2 linked regions of the Drosophila melanogaster genome follow. The protein of the gene in region 2 interacts with the protein of the main gene of each other region in a pairwise test. Each region holds a gene or a part of one and is shown on either strand. Other genes may lie near its edges.

Evidence for each region.
Region 1: the proteins of Ptp69D (region 2) and Hmg-2 interact in a two-hybrid assay, tested with the Drosophila melanogaster proteins (one study listed by BioGRID).

Annotation. Positions count from the first base shown.
Region 1 is NT_033778.4:21,144,416-21,148,268, forward strand, and holds Hmg-2 (high mobility group protein 2), read left to right. Parts: upstream 1-1,787; 5' UTR 1,788-1,885; coding exon 1,886-2,289; intron 2,290-2,348; coding exon 2,349-3,075; 3' UTR 3,076-3,193; downstream 3,194-3,853. Other genes in the region: Xbp1 (X box binding protein-1), read left to right, coding at 1-449; CG15657 (uncharacterized protein), read right to left, coding at 3,299-3,555, 3,615-3,699.
Region 2 is NT_037436.4:12,733,287-12,741,215, reverse strand, and holds the start of Ptp69D (protein tyrosine phosphatase 69D), read right to left. Parts: upstream 6,272-7,929; 5' UTR 6,064-6,271; coding exon 5,967-6,063; intron 5,159-5,966; coding exon 5,056-5,158; intron 4,964-5,055; coding exon 3,120-4,963; intron 3,061-3,119; coding exon 2,815-3,060; intron 2,757-2,814; coding exon 2,513-2,756; intron 2,445-2,512; coding exon 1,550-2,444; intron 1,491-1,549; coding exon 1,344-1,490; intron 1,288-1,343; coding exon 1,177-1,287; intron 1,108-1,176; coding exon 928-1,107; intron 864-927; coding exon 556-863; intron 495-555; coding exon 359-494; intron 297-358; coding exon 219-296; 3' UTR 1-218. Other genes in the region: small ribonucleoprotein particle protein SmD1, read left to right, coding at 6,700-6,713, 7,233-7,593. UniProt on the Drosophila melanogaster protein: Possible cell adhesion receptor.

The sequences.
Region 1 (3,853 bases), on a different chromosome or scaffold from region 2:
AGCAGCAACAGCAGCACAACACCAGATGCATCAGCCAATCCAACGCCAGCGCAGGCGCTGAGGGCTGTGCGTCCACCAACCTTGGATCTGCAGCATCCAAAGCTGACCCTCTGCCGCAGGGTATACAACAGGTGGACACACAGTCGTCAGCGCGTCTGCTGGCGGAGCAGCTGAAGAGCAGCAAGAGCCTGGCCTCACTCTGGAAAGTTGTGGCCCTCTGCCTACTCTACAAGACATGCTTGGCGTCGACGAAGAGTTCGACGTCAAGCGCCTCGAAGAGCTGGCCGAAAGTCTGCTCGCAGATATCACAGCAGACCTGGAAACAGGCGCTGGAGCGAGCAGCCCAGCTGCTGCCCAAGATGCAGGCAACGCAGAGCGATTGCCTGGACCAATGGTGGGGCCCGCAGCAGAGCGCTTGGAATCCGACGGGCATAGAGCTAATGGCCTGAATGTTGAGCAGGAACAGGAAACCGAGCACAAGGTCAGCCTAAATGTGCAGATGTTGAAGATAAATGGAAACCCACAGCATACCACAGCAGCGCCAGCCTCGAGAACAGCCACAATCACAGCGACAGCGGCCGCCTCGCAACTACAGGCCACTCCGGACACAGTGTACGGCACGTATGATGCCAAGACGAACTCGATCACCATCGTGATGGACGGGGATGCGGTGCCGGTGAACGAGGCCGTCGAGGAGATCTACTGTGACGGCGTCAGCGCTGGCGACGACTCAACGGACGTGATCATGAAGTGTCCGCCGCCAGCGACGTCTCCGTCACAGGTCTATCTCAACGTGATGAACGCCGTCGACAATTCGGACGACGAGGAAAGCTTCGATCCGATCGACCGATTCCTACGTCCGCGCGTTAAGGCGATCTCCCCGTTGGCCAAATCCCCCGCATTGTCTCTACACTCGGCCACCTCGGACCATGGATACGAGTCCATACTGGGCTCTCCCACATCCGTGGCTCTCACTCTGCCCGCAGATGAGGACGATTTCCCCTGGGAGAGCAACTTTGACGAGCTGTTTCCCAGTTTGATCTGAGTTTTTCAAGCTGAAAACTTCGTTCTGTCTCTCTTTTATTGTTAAGTTTGGCCGGCCGCCGTTTGTTTAAGTTTTTTAGTTGATAGGCTGTACATAAATTCATAATCGAAGGCTTTATATATGATACTGTAGTTAGAGCGCTAAGTTTAGCTGTAGGTTTCCATTTATATTTAACAATCTCTAACCACATAGGCTTATGATTACTCTTATATGTATGTATTGTGCTCAAAGAATTTGAAAAAAAAACATTTGACTAAAAAATATTCAAAATATAAACCAAACCAAACAACAAGCTCTTTGTTTTTGTTTACTCTAGGCGAAACAGAACTTTGAACTGCGTATGATAAATAGTTAATCACGCCACTTCTCTAGCATCACGCCACTTTTTTATGACGCAATTTCTGCGTAGATGATGGGACAGTTTTAGGTGTAAGCATATGAGTCATTTTGTTTTTATTAACCAAATATATATATATTACAAAAAGTGAGTTGAACTGACTGCAGATAATGCGGATAGGTGAAATAAAACCACAACTATGCTCTGAAATATATGCACCTTATTTATTAGTATATTATTCATTAATAAGACGAAATACAGCTCTGTTTTTCTCCAAACTGAACTAGGATTTAAACAAGATTTTGCTAAGCTCGAAAAATATATTTTTTAAAGAATATAAATAGAGCCACCCTAATGCGCCAGCAAAAGCGAATTTGTTTCGGAACTAGTTCGAAAAAGTTGTTTATAGACTTGAACCAGTTTTTGCTTACGAACCACATACCTGTGATTTTGCAGAAAGATAAACAATTTTTAAATGCAATAGAGTGTACGGTTAAACAGAAATGACGGAACCAACGAGCAAGACACCGGATGCGGTTCCGGAATCACCCGTATCACTGCCCATCGCCTCCCAATCCATGGATACGGCGACCATTGAAGATTTCGACGAGGACAAACCGGCCAAGGGAAAGAAGAAAGCCAAGAATCCAAAGGGTCGCCACTCGGATTCCGACATCGGCTCCGAACTGAAGAAGCTGGCCCAGCGCCGGATCAACGTAGCCGGTGCTCCAAAAATGCCACTTAATGGCTACGTCCGCTTCATGAACGATCGACGCGAGGAACTGCGACGGGAGCAGCCACAACGTACTGCCCTGGAGCACACAAGGATCATCGGCGAGGAGTGGCATCAGCTGCCCGAGGAGCGCAAGTTGCCCTACATCGAGGCAGCCGCCAAGGACAAGGCCATGTAAGCTCACACTTCGTTTCCAACCCACAAAATCTAAACATATCTTCCCATTTTCGTAGATATCAGGAGCAGTTGCAAATGTTTCTCAAGGAACACCCCGAAATTGTGGCCAACGAGTTGGCCAAAGCCAAGAAAGCCACAAAACTGGATGGTTCGCCCAAGGAAAAGACGCCGAAGGGTGAATCAGCCTTGGGCAAGGCGAAGAAGACCAAGGCAAAGCCGGTTAAGCGGCAGAGCGAGGATCCGGATGATGTGCCTCTGGCCAAGGTGAAGCGTGCCCAGACACCACCGCCTCCCACACCGCCAGCGGCTCCAGTACAGCCCCCTCCCAGCAGCGTGCCACCTGCGACACCTGCACCACGACCGCTGCAGCCCGGCGAGATACCCATCTACACCAACGAGTTCATCGAACACAATCGCAGCACGGAGAATGAGCTGAGGACGCTGCGCAAGGCCAAGACCGATCTGGAGCAGCAGAACGCTGTGCTGGAACAGCACGTAGATAATACGAAAGCCGGGTACGCCAAGGTGATGGGCGAGGTAACTGAGCTCATGGAGGAGAACCAACGCCTGGAGACCTATTTGCGCGCCTTGCGCCAGAAACTGGTCGCAGCTCTCGGCGGAATCTCGATGCCACCACTGGAGCCAAGTGGTCCCAGCGTTGGCAACATTGACAAGTACATCCGGCACTTAGCCGGGCTCGTCACTCAGCCAAGCAACGTCACTTTGATTAAGGCACGAGAGGCGCTGCGTAAAGTGGACACCAGTAGCTTGCTAAAACCGTGATTCATAGTACAGTATTCATAGCGTTAATAACTTCACCATAAACAATAGTCATAGTCATAGAACAATAGTTATCAATGCCAAGGATATCAAAAGAGAAAACCGAATAACAATAAAATATCCGCAGCATTTGTATGTAGCCAAGTTTTGGGAGCGCCCACTTTTGTATTTGTTAACGTCTGTAAGTTAGGAGACTACTCGTATGTACCCAAGAATATCCTCATTTTTAGTTGTCCTTGGGAGCGTCAACGCCGAGAGCGAGGCTGCGATGAGAGGGAAAACGTGGCACTTTACGTGGTCCTGCCGTGATCAGTCCGGCATCGCCATCCACGGAACTCTGCAGCCTTGGCGCCTTGGTCCGACGATTCAAACAGTTGCGTAGAATATAGTAGCCTCCCAGCATCAGGGGAATCACCATTACCGGGTGACACGCTATCCCAAGCACAAACAGAAATGTGGACATCATCAGGTTGATTAGGGCCTCTGTGGATCGGGTCGTGCCGATTGAGTAAGGCGAACATGGTCGTGAGCGATACACTTACGTTCAATGCTCGAAATGGTGGCCACTGTTGTGTAGATCGCATACGAAATGGCTTCAAGCACACTATAAATATAGTAGATCAGCATTTTGGATTTGTTGAATTTCCTGGTGGAACTGAACTGCTAAAGCGATTCGGGCAACTGGGAAAAGTCAAAAAGTACAACTGAAGCAAAGGTTCCTACGACTATGAAACAATAAGAAAAACTAAATTAACTAAATTAATCAAAATAGAATTTATAC
Region 2 (7,929 bases):
TTGGTAGTTTTATCAATACGATACGTATACACTACATTTATATTTGTATGTATATTATGTGTCGGGCAAACGTAATTCGTTAAAAAAATTACGCTTGCTCTTGTAAATACTTTATTAAAAGATTTTATAAATATACAAATAATTTATCATAGCACATTTGATGCATTGATGTTCCAACACGTGCATTCTGTACTCGTATAAGTATATACATATCTAACTTAATCCAATGTTGACTCGGCTATGTGATGTAAGTCTGAATAATTAATTATTGCGCGATGTAGGAACTCGTATTGTGCCTAGAAACCATATAAACATCTAATTAATGCATTGACAATAAAATATAAACAAATTCACTTACGTATGAGTTGATAAGTCCCGTTCGCTGAGATCGTAATTTCCTTGTTGTGGCACAGATGTCGACACACTTCTCCAGCCTCAGATGCTGGACCAAAATACACATGGCGACGAAAATGGAACTTCGATCGGTTCCCAGGCTGCAAATAATTTATAATTGATTAATCCGTCAAGTGCATGAATCAAAGCATCGCCGCATACCTGCAATGAACTGTGAGTGGAGATCGACAACCAGAATTCTTGTTGTTCTTATAATGGTTGTATGCTTGATCTACAAGTTCTATAATGCCACGGCAGACTTCAGGAACTTCTCCGTCCACGGTGGGCCAACCATTGTATTGAAATTGTGTGACTTTCAGCGTATCGTCTATTTTGCAATTCGTAACATAAAATTCGCGGCGAGTATAGTATGGACAACTTTCGCTGTGCACGTATTTCACGAGTATGTGATCGTATTGAACCTCATCATCTGCCCAGTATCGCGGGCATTTCCTGGGACCATCTCCGATCTGCAATGCAATTAAAGCACTCAGTTGAATGGGAAACCAATAAAGTAGAGAGGGCACTACTCACTTCGGATATCATGACGAGGGTGGTAACACTCTGTTCCGAGATCATTCGCCAGAAGTCTCCTATAGTGTTTTCAAGTGGATCCTGGGCAATGATGAAGGTTTCGCTATTATCATAGCCCTCTATGAATGATGCGTTAATGTAAGTTGAGTTTTCCCGCATCGGAAGTGGTGTTAGTATAACCTTTAATTGCACAAAAACATTCACAAACATTAAACACAGTTCGCATAAAAGTTAGCCACTATTACTTACTCTGTTGCGATCGTAGGGTATAATCTCTTGACTTCTGTTCTTCATATTGTTCTCCTCGTTTTCGCCCACACTACATGATTTACTTATCTCATCTGCTGTGGCCAGTAGTTTCTGAAATAAATAGTAATAAGCAAAACGCCTGCAAGTAGATAACAAACTATACAAACCTCGAATTCCACTTCCAATTTGCATTTACCCTCGTTGGGTTTCCGCTTAAGAGATTCAATTGCAGAAGCCATTGTATCAATGCAAATATCCGTGTTTCCAAAGGTTCCAGTATCTAATAAAGCCCGGTAAAGAAAGATGTATTGTTTCTGCAAGCAAAAAGAAAGTTATTACAGCAACTACGAGTGGAATTTCCATATCTACGCACCAGAGATTGGACTAAAAAATTTCGTTGGTGTCGTAGATCACACACTGTGTTGTAAATGGACACCGAGTCTTCTTCCTCCAGCTGTTGGATTAGGGAATCTAAAGCCACCAGGGTTCCGGTTCTACCCACACCAGCACTGCAATGCACTAAAATTGGACCCCTTTGCAGGGAGTAGACGGAATTGATTTGACGTATGAATTTGATGATGCCATGTGGATGCTCTGGTGCCATGAAGTCCTTCCACGTTAGGTAGTGGTATTGGGTGATTTGTCTACGGTCCTCCTCCTCGCCGACATTGGCTTTGTTCTTGGAAACGTTCAGGGTACGTTCAATATAATCACCAGTCTTACGTTCTTGTGCAAATTTCACTAAAATATCTCCGAACTGTTTCGTATCAAATACTTTTTCTGGCCAATATTTCGCGCACTTGGCCTTGTTATATTCCTCCAAATTTGTAAGCATCACAATTATTTCTAGATGTTGTTCCCAAATCATTCGCCAAAAATCATCGATGGTACTTTCCATTGGACCCTGTGCACAGATAAACTTCTTTCTCTCCTTGTAGCCAATTACGAAGTTAGCATTGATGTAGTCCGTAGTTTGCAGGCCATTGATGACAGCCAACTTTACGCGCGTCTGATCGTAAGCCTTTATATCGGGATACCTGTTCTTGCAGGCGTTCTCCTTTAAATCACTGTTTTTAGTTGTCCGATCGCTAAAGCGATTTGGCAGCATCTCATATTCCCGCAGAAATCCGTAGTCAGTGTCCTTATGTCGGTTCTTGTAGGCGTTTTCTAAATCTAATCTGTGAATGGGGCCAGCGTCGAATCCTTTGTGATTTCCGGAAGTTATAAAATGACTGTGGTTGTGATTTCGTCGACCGAACAATGCCCTGCTTGATGTGAAGAAACAATTGAATATTAATTGAAATCACATCAAGAAGATCAAACAATTACTAGTTACCTCAAAGAATCTCTTAGTGTTAAAGTGTCTTCGCCCTGCAGTTCATTCTTGGTTTTCTTGTGATGGAAAACCCACAGCACAATAAATACAAGTATGACACCAAGTAATACGGCTCCAGCCTTGACCCCAATGCTTAGGTAGTAGTCCATATTGTTCAAGGATTGGATGGGTTCAGCTTCAGTCGCCGGAGTAATTATATCAAAGTATTTGCTATAAGCCATCAGGGCATTGTTTCGATCCCGAACTGAGGAAAATAAACATGATATTACCATTTTGCTTTCAAAAAATCAATCATTACGCACCTATTATCTCTAGGAATCCGGTGTAGTTGGAGTTAATATCTATCTCACCATCGAAGACATCTCGACTAGAATCGTGGAGTGGCACATTTGGGTTGACGGCGCTTAGAATTGGATTCTCATCGCTGGTCACCGCGTTTCTTTTATCCCTTAACTTACTTTCTAAGATTTTCAGAGCATGCTCTGTTAAGTTTGCTCCTTTGATCAAGTTGTCCTTCTCCGACAAAATGGGCAGTTCAGAATCGGAATCTAAAGAAAAGCACATTAGTTTCAAATAAAAAAAAATAAATAAAGTTTATATTAATTACTTGATAGTGAACCTTGTGGGGGTATGTGAATGATCTCGGGTTTCCTCAGAAATGGAGTACCCTCCAAGCATTTCCGACAAATTTCGTCGTTGTCGCGGATTATATCGTTGTTCTCACTAAATCTCTTTTCATCGCCCAAGAATATTTCCGGCCTAAAGTACTTGCTACTTATCATTTCCGCTATATATGCACTACTTCTAGTCACGTTATCGCTGTGAACCTCCTGATATGTGGCGATGTTTAGCTTCTCCGGGTCCGGCAATTCCTTGTTGTCATTGTTAATTCTAACTAGATACAATCTATAGCAGCATATGGGCCCATTGCGTTCGCTGATCTTCGGTAGATACAACTTGAGAACGTACTTGGAGTCCAGGTTCACCTTTGACCACATGGTACGGCCAATGGCATCCGGCGTGGAGACGGGCATTAGACAACTTCCGGTGGCCGGTTCGCCGTTCTTCTTGTGCCGCGTTATGGCAGACACCGTCACCGTGTAGTTTGTGTTCGGGCTAACACTTTCGTAGAGGGTCTTGTGATGGGGTTCATCGATTCTTCGAATCTTTGGTCCCCACATCTCTCTATCCACTGTGCTCATGGGATTGCCCAGCAAGTGAATTAAATATGACACAACCTTGCCGTTTGGCGTCTTGGGAACGTCCCAGTTAATGGCGATGGAGTTGCCTCTCGTGACGTTGTCATGATGACACTGTATGCTCAAGTTGGTGGGTTTTGTTGCCACGCCGTCCATCGTTGTGCCGTTCACGTTTTCGGACCATGGTCCACAAGTCTTGGTTAGATCACTACATGCCCTTACCCTAAATTCGTAGTCTGTGGCGGTCTTAAGCTTATCAAACATGTATGGCAAGTTTCGAGAATTCTGCTGGTAAATGGCCTCTTCGATCACTTTGGGCACCTCGCCCGATTCGGAGACAATCAGTTCGTAGTATTGTATATAATCAATGAGATCTGGCGGCGGTGGATTCCAGCCAATCGTTATCGTGGACGCCGTGCTGCCGGTGGTCTCGACTTTTGGTATAAATATGGGATCATAACTAAGCGTGGTGATTCCCTGGGGATACTGGGTGGGTTGGCCATTGCCAATCGAGTTCTTTCCCACGATTCTTAAAAAATAGGTTGTGTTCGGCTTGAAATGGTCCAGAATATACGATGTATGGCTGCCGTTAATAAAGTCCTTATGATAAGTAAAAGTCGGTGTTCCAGCCTCCTGCAGAGTGATGAAGAACTTCTGAATTGGATCGTTGCCGTCGTTAACGGTCCAATTTAGGTATATTTTATTAGCACCAACTGCCTTGGCGAAATCAATGCTAACTTGTGGCACTTCCATTACGAAAAGGGTAATCTCTTTGGAGGTAATTTCGAGTCCGGTGTCATCGAAGACGGTGCACTTGTAGGTGCCATTCTCTTTCTTGTAAACTTCTGTGAATTCCAGGGTGAAGTTTAAGTGCGTATCGTTTAGCTTCGAAATGGACGAGAAGGTGTCCAGGAATTCAAACTGGCTGCCGTCCTTAAGCCACTTGAGGTTTCTATTAGTTGTCTCATTTTGTGGGTACATCTCGATCAAACAGTACAACATGACATCCTGCTTGATTTTTCTCTTAATCCTATCGGGGGTACTTTGCAGGACTTTGGATGGAAGGTATGGCCTAACTTGGAATTCAGTCGAATGGTTTTGCCCCGTTTGGGCTGTGCATGTGTAGTTCCCCGAGTCCTTTATATTGACATCGAGAAGCGCCAGGACATTCTTATACTTGATGAAGTCTTGACTATCGTTGTTTTCACTGCCATCGTCGTTGGATTTCAATGGCTCAGTTCTTATTTTATATCTGAAAAGATCGAAAAATGATCAGATTATTATGTTATTCCATCTTTATGGGGGCAGAAATATTTTTAGATGCTTGTGCAATAAGTTACTAACCTTGTATGGTTTTTATTAATAGTTTGGTTGCCCAGCTTCCATGCTACTGCTTCGTTTTCAGATGCGCACTCTAGAGATACGTTTTTACCTATTTCTGCCCACTCTGTAAATAAATTTCATTAAAATAATTATCAGTTTTGTATATAGACGTAATTATAGAAATTACACCGATCTAGTAGCAACATGCTTCTGTCAGCCTAAAAATATGTTAGACTTAAAATATATCTTCCTGATTAATGGTTGTGTATATTTAAATCTGATTATAGCTTCCGGGTTTTATGCGATTTAGTAAAATATTCAAATTAGAACTATATTGAAGGAAAATTTCTTATTTAACTTTCCTATTAAATTTTAAGTTTTATGATGGACACCAAGAAAGGTTTTTCTGGATGGGCGGTAAAAGCCAGACATAAAAATGAAACTACACCCACAATATTGGCCATAAAACTCGCGGTAGTAATCCGGCGTAATTTCGGAATCAACACGTATTTAGCTGAAGAAATATTACAAATATATATATATGTGATTATATTTCAGATAAATCAGATAGATGTACATAAGTATGTACGCAGAAACATAAAACGTATGTATGTACCGGGAAGTGTGTACATATGTATGCGCGACTACTTTTGTTTAGCCCCAATTGAAATCTCACCCCATCGCCGTAATCTTTGGGCGTTACCGACATAGTTCGAGTGCTACTGTATCTAAGAACTATACAACCGTCTTGTTAACCACCATATCAAATGATAATTCCAGTTTCCAACTTAATGTAAAACACTCCATTCACATTTGCAAAAACAACACAAAAAAAAAATGAGACATTGCAATTTGTTGACACCCACAAACGGTTCTTGATGTACGTATGTATGTACCAATTATGATGTTCGTCTGAGTTTTTGAAACATTACCTTGTTTCACAGATCCTTGCACACATATCGCACAAAGGAAAATATATGCAAGAATTATATTTAATAGCATCGACATGCGTCGGTAGAGTAACGCCATGGCTTGCTAATTTCTCACTCCGAGCCGGATAAATACATATGTCAAAAATTATATTCGATGTCTGCGTTGAGTTAAAAAGCTCTACTGCGTTGAACTAATGTCGCGGCGAGTGCAAAACACCGACAAATGTGTTTTATTAAAAACCAGTTAATAGACGGCGACCGCGAATAAGTATTAATCGTTATTTTCTTAACACTGGATTGTTTTTTTTTCGCGATATGCGGCGTTATCGATAAGTCAGTCGAATATGTACCCTTGGCTGCGGTTACCAAGGGATTTGGAACAACTGAATTGGAATATAATCGTATATTATAATAATATAATCGTAATCGTATTTATTAACATGAGTAATTAATAAGACACAAGTATTTATTTATAGAGCAGTATGACATTAATTGTTACTTAATTGTTGCAAATTTATAATTTATTTCTGGAATGCATTAATTCATTTATTACTTCATATTCACTTTTATTACGATTCCGTTTGGTAGCCGATATATTTTACAATACCAATGAGCGTTGCTATCTTAGCACACGATACAACAGTTCACCGCAACCACCAAATTCCAAGTAAACTAGCCGGCATTGTTTGTGCGCGTTTTTTTTTGCAGAAAACCACCAAAAACACATAAAAACATGAAATTAGTAAGGTATGTTATGCGTCATTTACCTAAACTAAAACTAAACTTGTTAGCAATGCGTGCAGTATAGTTTCATTCAGTTTTTGAGTTCTGCGATTCTGCACACATGTATGCATGCAAAAGCGATGCTCCCATTTGTTGTTTTTGTACACAAAATTTAATTTAATACGAATGTTGTTTTGATCTGTTATTATAATAGTTTTCCATTATTTACTTGTATCTGGTAACAATTCTTGCACTTTAAGTAGCATTTTGCATAACTATATTCAATGCAATCAACGCTCTTAATCCAAGGCCACCAAATACAAGCTACCTTTAAATTCGTACTAATTTGCTAAAAGTAAAGGCTCTACTAAGTATATTTCATCATAAAGGCTGCTTGCATACACCTTATTGTATCTCATTTTTCAATCACCCAATAAGATATTTGTTTCTACCTATAATAGCCTTGCATCTCTGAAATGCTGCATCTTTGCAACAGGGATTTCCTTAATTTCGTTTACTAATCTTCCCGTTGATGCATTACAGATTCCTTATGAAGCTAAGTCACGAGACCGTGACCATCGAACTGAAGAACGGCACCCAGATCCACGGCACCATTACCGGCGTGGATGTGGCCATGAACACTCACCTGAAGAGCGTTCGGATGACGATCAAGAACCGGGATCCCGTCCACCTGGAGACGCTGAGCATTCGCGGCAACAACATCAGATACTTTATACTGCCGGACAGCCTGCCGCTGGAGACGCTCCTCATCGACGACACCCCGAAGTCGAAGACAAAAAAGAAGGACAGCGGCCGCGTGGGAAATCGCGGCAGGGGCAGAGGCGCCCGCGGACGAGGTGGTCCACGGGGTCGCGGAAGGGGCCGAGCTTCAGGCCGACGTTAATCTTTGTAACAGCTACATCTAATAAACAATATTCGATAAATATAGAATATAAATATTCTTTGGATAAATCCACACTGTATGCATTTACTATGTACGAACAACTGACAAATGTCTTCAGCTAGTAAAGAAACTCCATCTGAATATGTATATTGTTAAAAATCACTCTGTGTAGTAGCTCAGGAAAAATGTGTTTACTTGGCAACAAATTGAAAGAAGACTCCCGCCATTAAATTATGATTAAAAATGTTTGAAAGTTTGTAAAAACGCTTTTTTATACTTTTAATTGTTTTTGGACGCACAAAATGTCTTTCAAATGTTCAACAATAGTAGGAGAAA